2 linked regions of the Mus musculus genome follow. The protein of the gene in region 2 purifies or fractionates together with the protein of the main gene of each other region. This does not show direct contact. Links are inferred from orthologs where the notes say so. Each region holds a gene or a part of one and is shown on either strand. Other genes may lie near its edges.

The links. The genes of interacting proteins can lie anywhere in the genome.
Region 1: the proteins of Tubgcp2 (region 2) and Lgals3bp purify together in Homo sapiens (affinity purification with mass spectrometry; 3 studies listed by BioGRID and IntAct, counting the BioPlex papers as one, with this or other methods). This does not show direct contact. The link is inferred for Mus musculus from reciprocal best matches to the Homo sapiens genes TUBGCP2 and LGALS3BP.

Annotation. Positions count from the first base shown.
Region 1 is NC_000077.6:118,399,159-118,403,456, reverse strand, and holds the start of Lgals3bp (galectin-3-binding protein precursor), read left to right. Parts: upstream 1-1,497; 5' UTR 1,498-1,671; intron 1,672-3,655; 5' UTR 3,656-3,677; coding exon 3,678-3,729; intron 3,730-4,298.
Region 2 is NC_000073.6:140,002,168-140,005,678, forward strand, and holds part of Tubgcp2 (gamma-tubulin complex component 2), read right to left. Parts: intron 3,284-3,511; coding exon 3,103-3,283; intron 2,813-3,102; coding exon 2,632-2,812; intron 1-2,631. UniProt on the Homo sapiens protein: Component of the gamma-tubulin ring complex (gTuRC) which mediates microtubule nucleation.

The sequences.
Region 1 (4,298 bases), on a different chromosome or scaffold from region 2:
CTGGCTTTGCCTCCTGGGCCATTTGTGTCAGACCTTTTGAATAGTGTTCAAGAGGACAGTTGGGTGTCTTGAGGTAGGAAACCTTACAGTGCTGGTGCCAGGGGAGCTGCAGGGAGCTGCTGGGAATTAGGCCACTGTCTAAACATCATAAGTCTGGGGAAATTTGCCTTTGTAATTTTAGTGTATCTTACATGTTTGGAACTTTTGTCTGCATGCATGTATGTGTACCACGTGTGTGCCTGGTGACCATGGAAATCAGGAGAGGGCATTATATCCTTTAGAAATGGCATTATGGGTGACTGTGAACAGCCATGTGGGTGTTTCAAATGGAACCTGGGTCCTTTGCAAGAGCAGCACGTGTTCATAACTACTGAGCCATCTCCCTAGGCCTCTTTGAATTATATATATATATTTTTACATTTATTTACTGTGTGTGTCTACATGCATGTACATACATGCCACGGTACACTTGTGTAGATCAAGACAGCGTACAGGAGTCAGTTTTCTCTTACAGTGAGTCCCAGGGGTCAAATTCATAGCATCAGGATTGGTTACTGCAAGTCCCTTTACCCGCTGAAGCAGTTTTGGTGGTGGTAGTTTTGTTGTTGTTGTTGTTGTTTTAGGATTTTGTTTCGGTTTTGTTTCTGTTTTTGTTTTTTTCCTTTGAGGCAGGCTTTCTCTGTGTAGCCCTGACTAACCTAGGACTCACTATGTAAACCAGACTAGTTTCTAACTCACAAAGATCCACCTGCCTCTGCCTTCCAGCTAAAGGTGTGTTCCACCATGCCCAATTAGCCCTACTTTAAAAAAAAAGGTATTGTAGAAACCTTTTAAGATTTAATTTTTAAAATTATATGTGTGCATGCATGAGCACACTTGGGTGTGGGTGCCTACAGAGTCTGAGCCCCTGAAGCCAGTTACAGGCTATTCTGAGCCAACCAACATGGGTGCTGGGAGTTGAACTCAGGCCTCCCATAAGAGCAGGTGGTGCTCTTAACCACCAAGCCACTCTAGCCCCCAGCCCTGCTTTCTGCTTTTAGCCTTTATATCGCTATTCTTGTCTCTCAGGACCACTCTGTGGCCCACATACCTTCGCTCTGCGCATGGTAGGTTTGTGCATAAGCTAAGGGCAGCCAGCATTCCCAGGTCCAGGAAAGGATAGTCCAGCCCACATCCACATTCACAGACACGGTCTGACCCGAGCTGCTGCTCCTAGGCCCTCTTTCTGTATCTTTCCACTCTCCTTCGCCAGGATGCCTGCCTGGCCAGCCTGGAGATGTATTTGCTCCAACCATCCCCCAAGCTGCCCCACAGGGTGCCTGCCTGGCTAGCCTGGACTTATATTTGTTTCATCAGCTCAGTATATCAGCTCAGCACAGGGCGCTTGGGTGCCTGCCCTCTGCCCCACAGAGCAGCAAGCAGAAGGCTATTAGCCTTGCTGACAGCCAACCCCAGAAGCAGCCTCTGTCATGTGTTTTCTGAAAATCGAAACTAGGTGAGGTTTACAAAGCATTTCCTGGGACGAGGCTGAGGAAAGCCACATGGTGGAGCTTTTCTCTGCTGAACAGTCTACAGAAGGCTTCCAGTTGCAGCCAGGAAGGAGGCTCCAGGACTGCCTTCAGCCACTGCCTCGCTGCCTGAGGGACAGTTGAGTCCCTCTCTTGCTCCCAGGTGAGTCTCCACTCTACACAGCATGATTTCTGGCAGGCCAGAGCACAGGAGCCAATACAGTTGGGCAGGATGTCCACTGAATGAACAGCTGAAGGGGTGAGTGGGTTAGAGTTTATCCCCGGCCCCCTCCTGGGTCTGTAGATTCTCTCCCAGGACTAAACCTACCTACTCAGTGGTACTGAATGAGCCAGCATAGGCAGGCTTGTCCCATCTTCCCACACAAAGGAGTAGGGCAGAAACAGCCTCTGTCATCCAGTGGACAGCAACATCCACATACACTGCAATGTTCCCAAGGCCTAGAGCGCCTGACCCAGCATGGACAAACCTACGACCACAGTTTATAGTAAATGCAGGGAGTGGGCACCCAGTGCAGTTTGCCTGGGACTCAGGTTTCCCAGAGCCCAGGCCTTCTTGGGATAAAACTGGGGTAATGCCTTGCCACACGGATGTGGGACTCTCTGGCTCCCTCCACCTCCACCAGGGTCCTTGTGGTAGAAGGAGGCCACCCCTGGGCAGACCCTAACCTGTGCTCACTGGCTGTGTCATCTGGAGTCAGTTGGCTCTCTAGCTTCGGCTCTCATTAGGGATGTGGGAACTTTGTGAGTTGTATATTGTTCTGGGTCTGTGCTTGACTAGATGCAGAAGTCTGGTGGGAACCAGTTGGGGGGTGGGGGTGGGGTGCACAGAACTAAGGGCCAAGTCCCACCCATCAGTGTGTTATAGGACTCAACGGTCAGAGCTTATGCCCAGAAAGCTCCCCTGATAGCCAGACTCAGCCACCCATCCTCCATGGTCCAATTAAAAACATAACAGTGAAAAGCCGAAAAAGGAGATTTATTTAATGTGGCCACACTAAGAGGAATCCAGTGGCCTCCCCCATTAATGGCCCAGAGTCTATTAGGGGATATTAACATGAGGTTTACATAGAGGTATACATAGCTAACTGGCTTGCCTGGGCTGTAAATCCCAGAGTGAGCTGTTATTTCCTGGAGACAGGCTTCCTCTCTGGCTATCACCAGGCAACAGCCTTCTCCTTTCAGCGTGAGACTCCCGGGGAGTTCCAGTTCTGCTGTTGCTTCCGCAGTCGGATAGCCAAAGCCTATCCTAGGATCTCTTCACCCCTGCCAAGATGGCTACAAGTGCCCTGGCCCCCTGAGGGCTTGCTCGTGCTGCTCTGGTGCAGAATGTCTGGGGTGGGGGTTGGTCGGTGGGAGAGGGCTGGGGAGGGGCCAATCCTGGTGCTTCTACTGGACCTGAAATATCTCTACTGCTTGTCTCTGGGCCCCTGGTCGGAGTAACAATTTGTGGCTTCCAGTTCCTGCCCAGGAGACAGAGCTCTGTAGCACCATCCACTACCAGTCCCAAGCTGCCTGCTGGGCCTAGAACGAGTCCAGAGTCCATTGAGGCTGCTGCATTTTGTTCTGTGGGTTGCCCCGCTCCTTGCAGGGCCTGAGGGACAATGCCTGGGTGGGGCACATCCTACATACAGGCAAGAGTCTAAGTATTGAGTCCTGTGTGTCAGCACCGTGGTGGTTGACCCTGACCCACATCCCCAGGTCACATCATGAAGTCCCAGACCCTTCTACACTGCCTCTGTCACTTCCCCTTGAGAGTTCCAACCTCATCTACAATGTCCTCACAGACTGGCAAATCTTGTCCCCTGCACACCCCAAAGGCAGCTAGCTACTACTTACAGATAAGGCCAGCTAAAGATAAAGAGCTCTTGTTTGCTTCCTGGGTTCTCGTTGCCAGGAGCCCTCAAGCCACTTGCCTCATCTGGGGACTCTTGCTGACCTGAAGGTTGTCCTGCAGAGCATGTGAGAGAGGCCTGCATGAGAGCCATCACATAGCCATCTGGGCCTTACACAAGAGTACCACCCACAACACCATCCCATCCTCTACAAATAGGACAGGGAGCCATGGAACTGCCAGTCTCCTTTGGAGAGCTGTTGCCAGTCTAACTTTGTTGTTCTTTCTGCTGCAGGGTTGGGCTTCTAGGCCAGGCAATGGCTCTCCTGTGGCTCCTCTCTGTGTTCTTGCTGGTTCCAGGGACTCAAGGTGAGTCCTGCCCCACGAAAGGTCCCAAACGCCTTGTTCTGTGGGTTGTCCCCCTCTGCCTTGCAGAAAAGCTGCATGGCAACCTGCAAGGAGCCATGTCTCAGGATTCTCTCCCATGTGGCTCCTCTGTCATTCTAAATGGTGGTGGCGTATGGCCCCTGGTGCTCCCCCGCACCCAAGTGAAATGCAGGTATTGAAGAAGAGGCCAAGAAATTTTTTCTCATCTCATCAGTGGGCCAAGGAGGGAGAGCACAGCCCGTGCTGTCCTGGAGTGTGTGTGGGGGGGTGTCTCAGGGCACAGGTTAGGGTGGCAGAGAGTCCCTGGGGGGGGGGGGCAGTTCACACACTGCACTGTGGGTCTGAGAGCCTTGTCCATCCTGGACCGTCAGCTGAGTATCCCTCTCTAGTATGGGTGACCCCAATTCAAGCGCCCAGCTGGCCCTGTGAGCATGGGCAGAGACGGGAGTTCCAGAGAAAGGAGAGCAGGACTGTCCTGGCTGCCTGTGCCACAGTGCAGACTGTCTCCAGTCCAGGATTGTCCGCTTTAGGCAACCACTGTAGGGGTGAGG
Region 2 (3,511 bases):
GTATGTATGTATGTATGTATGTATGTATGTAAAATGTATATATCTGGTGCCTGTGGAGGTAAGAAGAGAGCATTAGATACTGGAATTCAAGACACAAGCTACTCAAGTTGGGAGCTGAGAACCAAACTTAGGTCCTCTGCAAAAGCAGCGAACACTCCTGTGCTGGCTGATTTGTCAAACGGATACAAACTAGAGTCATTTGGAAAAGGAGAATCTCAAGAAAATGTCTTTAATTTGCCTACCGACAGGTCCGTGATGCATTTTCTTAATTAGTGATTGATATGGGGTTACCCAGGCTAATGTGAGTGATAACACCCTTGGGCTGCTGGTCTTAGGTTTTATAAGAAAGCAGGCTGAGCAAGCCATGAGGTCCAAGGTGGTGAGCAGCATCCCTCTGTGTCCTGCCTCCTGACCTGTGTGAGCTCCGGCCCTCAGCGATGGAGTGTGATGTAGAACTGTAGGCTGAAATGAACCCATCCCAAGATGCTTTTGGTCATGGTGTTTATCACAGCAATAGAAACCCAAGATAACTTTGAATGACTAACCCTTCTTTCTGGCCCTTAAAATAACATTTTAAATGTTTCTGTTGTTATTATGAGTGAGGAACCATAGGAGTGAAGACCTTTTATTTTACCTGTGAAGTTGACACATACTTGGTGAGATTCATGACAGTGATTATTATGGACAAACAGTACTGTCTACAACATTAACTATTAAATACTTATTAAAGCCAACCACATGCCAGTTTGCTAAGGGTTCCTATAAGACTTAAATATATGTCCACAAAGACAAAAATATAAAAGACAGGAAAAAAAACAAAGCATAAAGAATCAATGAGGAAAAGCACAAACAGCTCCTGAACAAAGCAAGCGCTCACCATCTCCTAACAGTCATGGGCACGTAGACCACTCTCATCCTGCTTGTCAACGTAACACAGATGGGGACATCAGGTGCGCAGACATGACTCTCATTTGCCCCACAGCCAGCACCTTGTATGTTCTGCCTGGATGATCAGGCCACAGACTGCCACTAGGAATAATAAACCCTACAAAATTACTCCTACACTTAATAAGAGATCCAGAAATACATGAAATGAAGAACAGAACTGCAAAGAAAACGAAGATCTACAAGAACAGTGGGGCCTCAGCCTTACTCTCAGTAATAGATGGAAGCTGCGTGCACAGCACTAAGAACCATCCAAGACCTGTCGAGCACAGGAAGAACCCATGTAGAATCCCAGGACCATCATGATATGTTATAAAACTTATACTAAGGGCTGGAGAGATGGCTCAGCAGTTAAGAGCACTGACTGCTCTTCAGAAGGCCCTGAGTTCAAATCCCAACAACCACATGGTGGCTCACAACCATCCATAATGAGATCTGACTCCCTCTTCTGGTGCGTCTGAAGACAGCTACAGTGTACTTATTTATAATAATAAATAAATCTTTGGGTCAGAGCGAGCGAGGCCTGAGCGAGCAGAGGTCCTGAGTTCAATTCCTAGCAACCACATGATGCTCACAAACCATCTGTACAGCTACAATGCACTCATATACATAAAATAAATAAATAAATCTTAAAGAAAAGCATACAAAACAGTGAAGTTAGAAAACTAAGTAACAGTGTTGGAGATCTGCTCTTCCAGGGAGCCCGGGTTCAGATCCACATCCACATCCACAGTGGCCACACAGCATCCACAGTGGCCCACAACTGCCTGTAACTCCAGTTCCCACGGACCCACGCCCTCCTCTGTCCTCCACAGGCACTGCACACATACATGTGTAGGCAAGACATATAAAATAAAGAAAATTTAAAAACAAAAACAAAAAAACCCTAAGCAACAGAAGACAATCCTGAACATTTATAACTAAATGGAAACAAATCACTAAAGAAGAAGAAAGAAGAAATCATAGAATCAGTTGAGCCACCATGTAGTTGTTGGGAATTGAACTCAGGACCTCTCGAAGAGCAGCCGGTGCTCTTAACCACTGAGCCATCTCTCCAGCTCTCATTGAATCTCTTGAAACAAAAGAAAATAAAGCATGCTAAAATAGCCTAACTTTAAAATTCAAGAAACTATGAACAGAAATTAAGTTCAAAGCTAACAGAAACAACAGGTTGATAGAAACACAGAAGAAAAAGGAAGAAATAAATATAAGGAAGAAAGTAATAAAACCAAGATCGAGGTCTTAGAAACATCAGGGGAACTAGCAAGCTTTCAGATACATGAGGGAGAAAAGAAGACAAACCACTGAACTCAGAGATGAAGGGGGCTCTTCCTGCCAGCCTTAGAAGTCCGAACAGCTCTCTGCACTGCACGGCAGCAGACACACACCCTGCTGATGGCAACGCCAGGGTAAACGCGGGAAACATCACAGCCCGCATGAAACGGAGCGCTCATGCAGTATCCCCACCTACGCTCCGTCGGCCTATTGACACCGGCATGGACCAAACTCACAGGAAAAGTACAAAGCGGTGCCTCCTGTGAGTCCAGACACAAACCCCTAAACAAAATGCTCGTAAGCCAGTGTTCTCTGACATAGGAAGAACGCCTGGTAGGACACCCTGACTGGGCCTGCTGTGCTCTTCCCATGCTGCAGAAGCGAGGTGCCATGATGGTAAACACTGCTCACCTTGAGGTCGTCTTTGAAGGGGTCAGTGTTGGCAGTGCTCATTCGCAGGGCCAGCTCCAACAGGGCCTCCAGGCGTGTGAGTATGATGTCCTCCACTGGCTTCCTGAGCTCCTCCTCAGTCAGGTCCATGAAATGCACGAAGAAGTCCCCCTGGTCCATCAGGAAGTAGCGCTTGATGGACCTGTGTCAGGGTTGGTGAACATATAGCCTGACCCTGCCTCCACCATACATCATACAGAGGTTTGGCAGCTCTCAGACAGACATGGGGCTGCTCTGCTCAGGCATGGCAGAGGAGGGACTGACAGCAAGGAGCTGAGAGACCTGTTGGCTTGTACGGTCTGAGAACTAGAGAACTGAGGAGACCCTGCCACCTCACACTGAGGCTGCAGAGAGCCTGTGGAGAGATAAAAAATGTAGTTGCTAAGAAGAGCATTCTACTTTCAGCCCCATGGATACAAAGTGAAGTCCAACCTCAGGTGGGCCACCAGCTCCTTCTCCTCCATGAGGAAGTCCAGCAGCACTTTGCTGGCATAATTGAACGCTTTCTCTATCTGCTCCACATATGCCCGCTCTTTAAGGGTATAGATGATTTCTTTGGCTACGGGACAGGTGACATCATGACCACACTCTCTGACCACATTTAGGTATTTTCCTGAAAAAAAGGAAGGTGGGTTTAGTATGTACATGCTGAGTCTCAGGCCTGAACCTTTATGATGCCAACCAAACATGAGGTAGTAGGCCAGACATGACGCATAATTTGCTTCCTAAAAAAGACTGTGCAATAGTTCTTTAGGTCTGTTATAGGAAGGATTTTGCAAAGCCTTGAGATCTAGATTGCTAAATAATCCCCCAGCCCTTTCTGATTCTGTTCAGGTTTCAG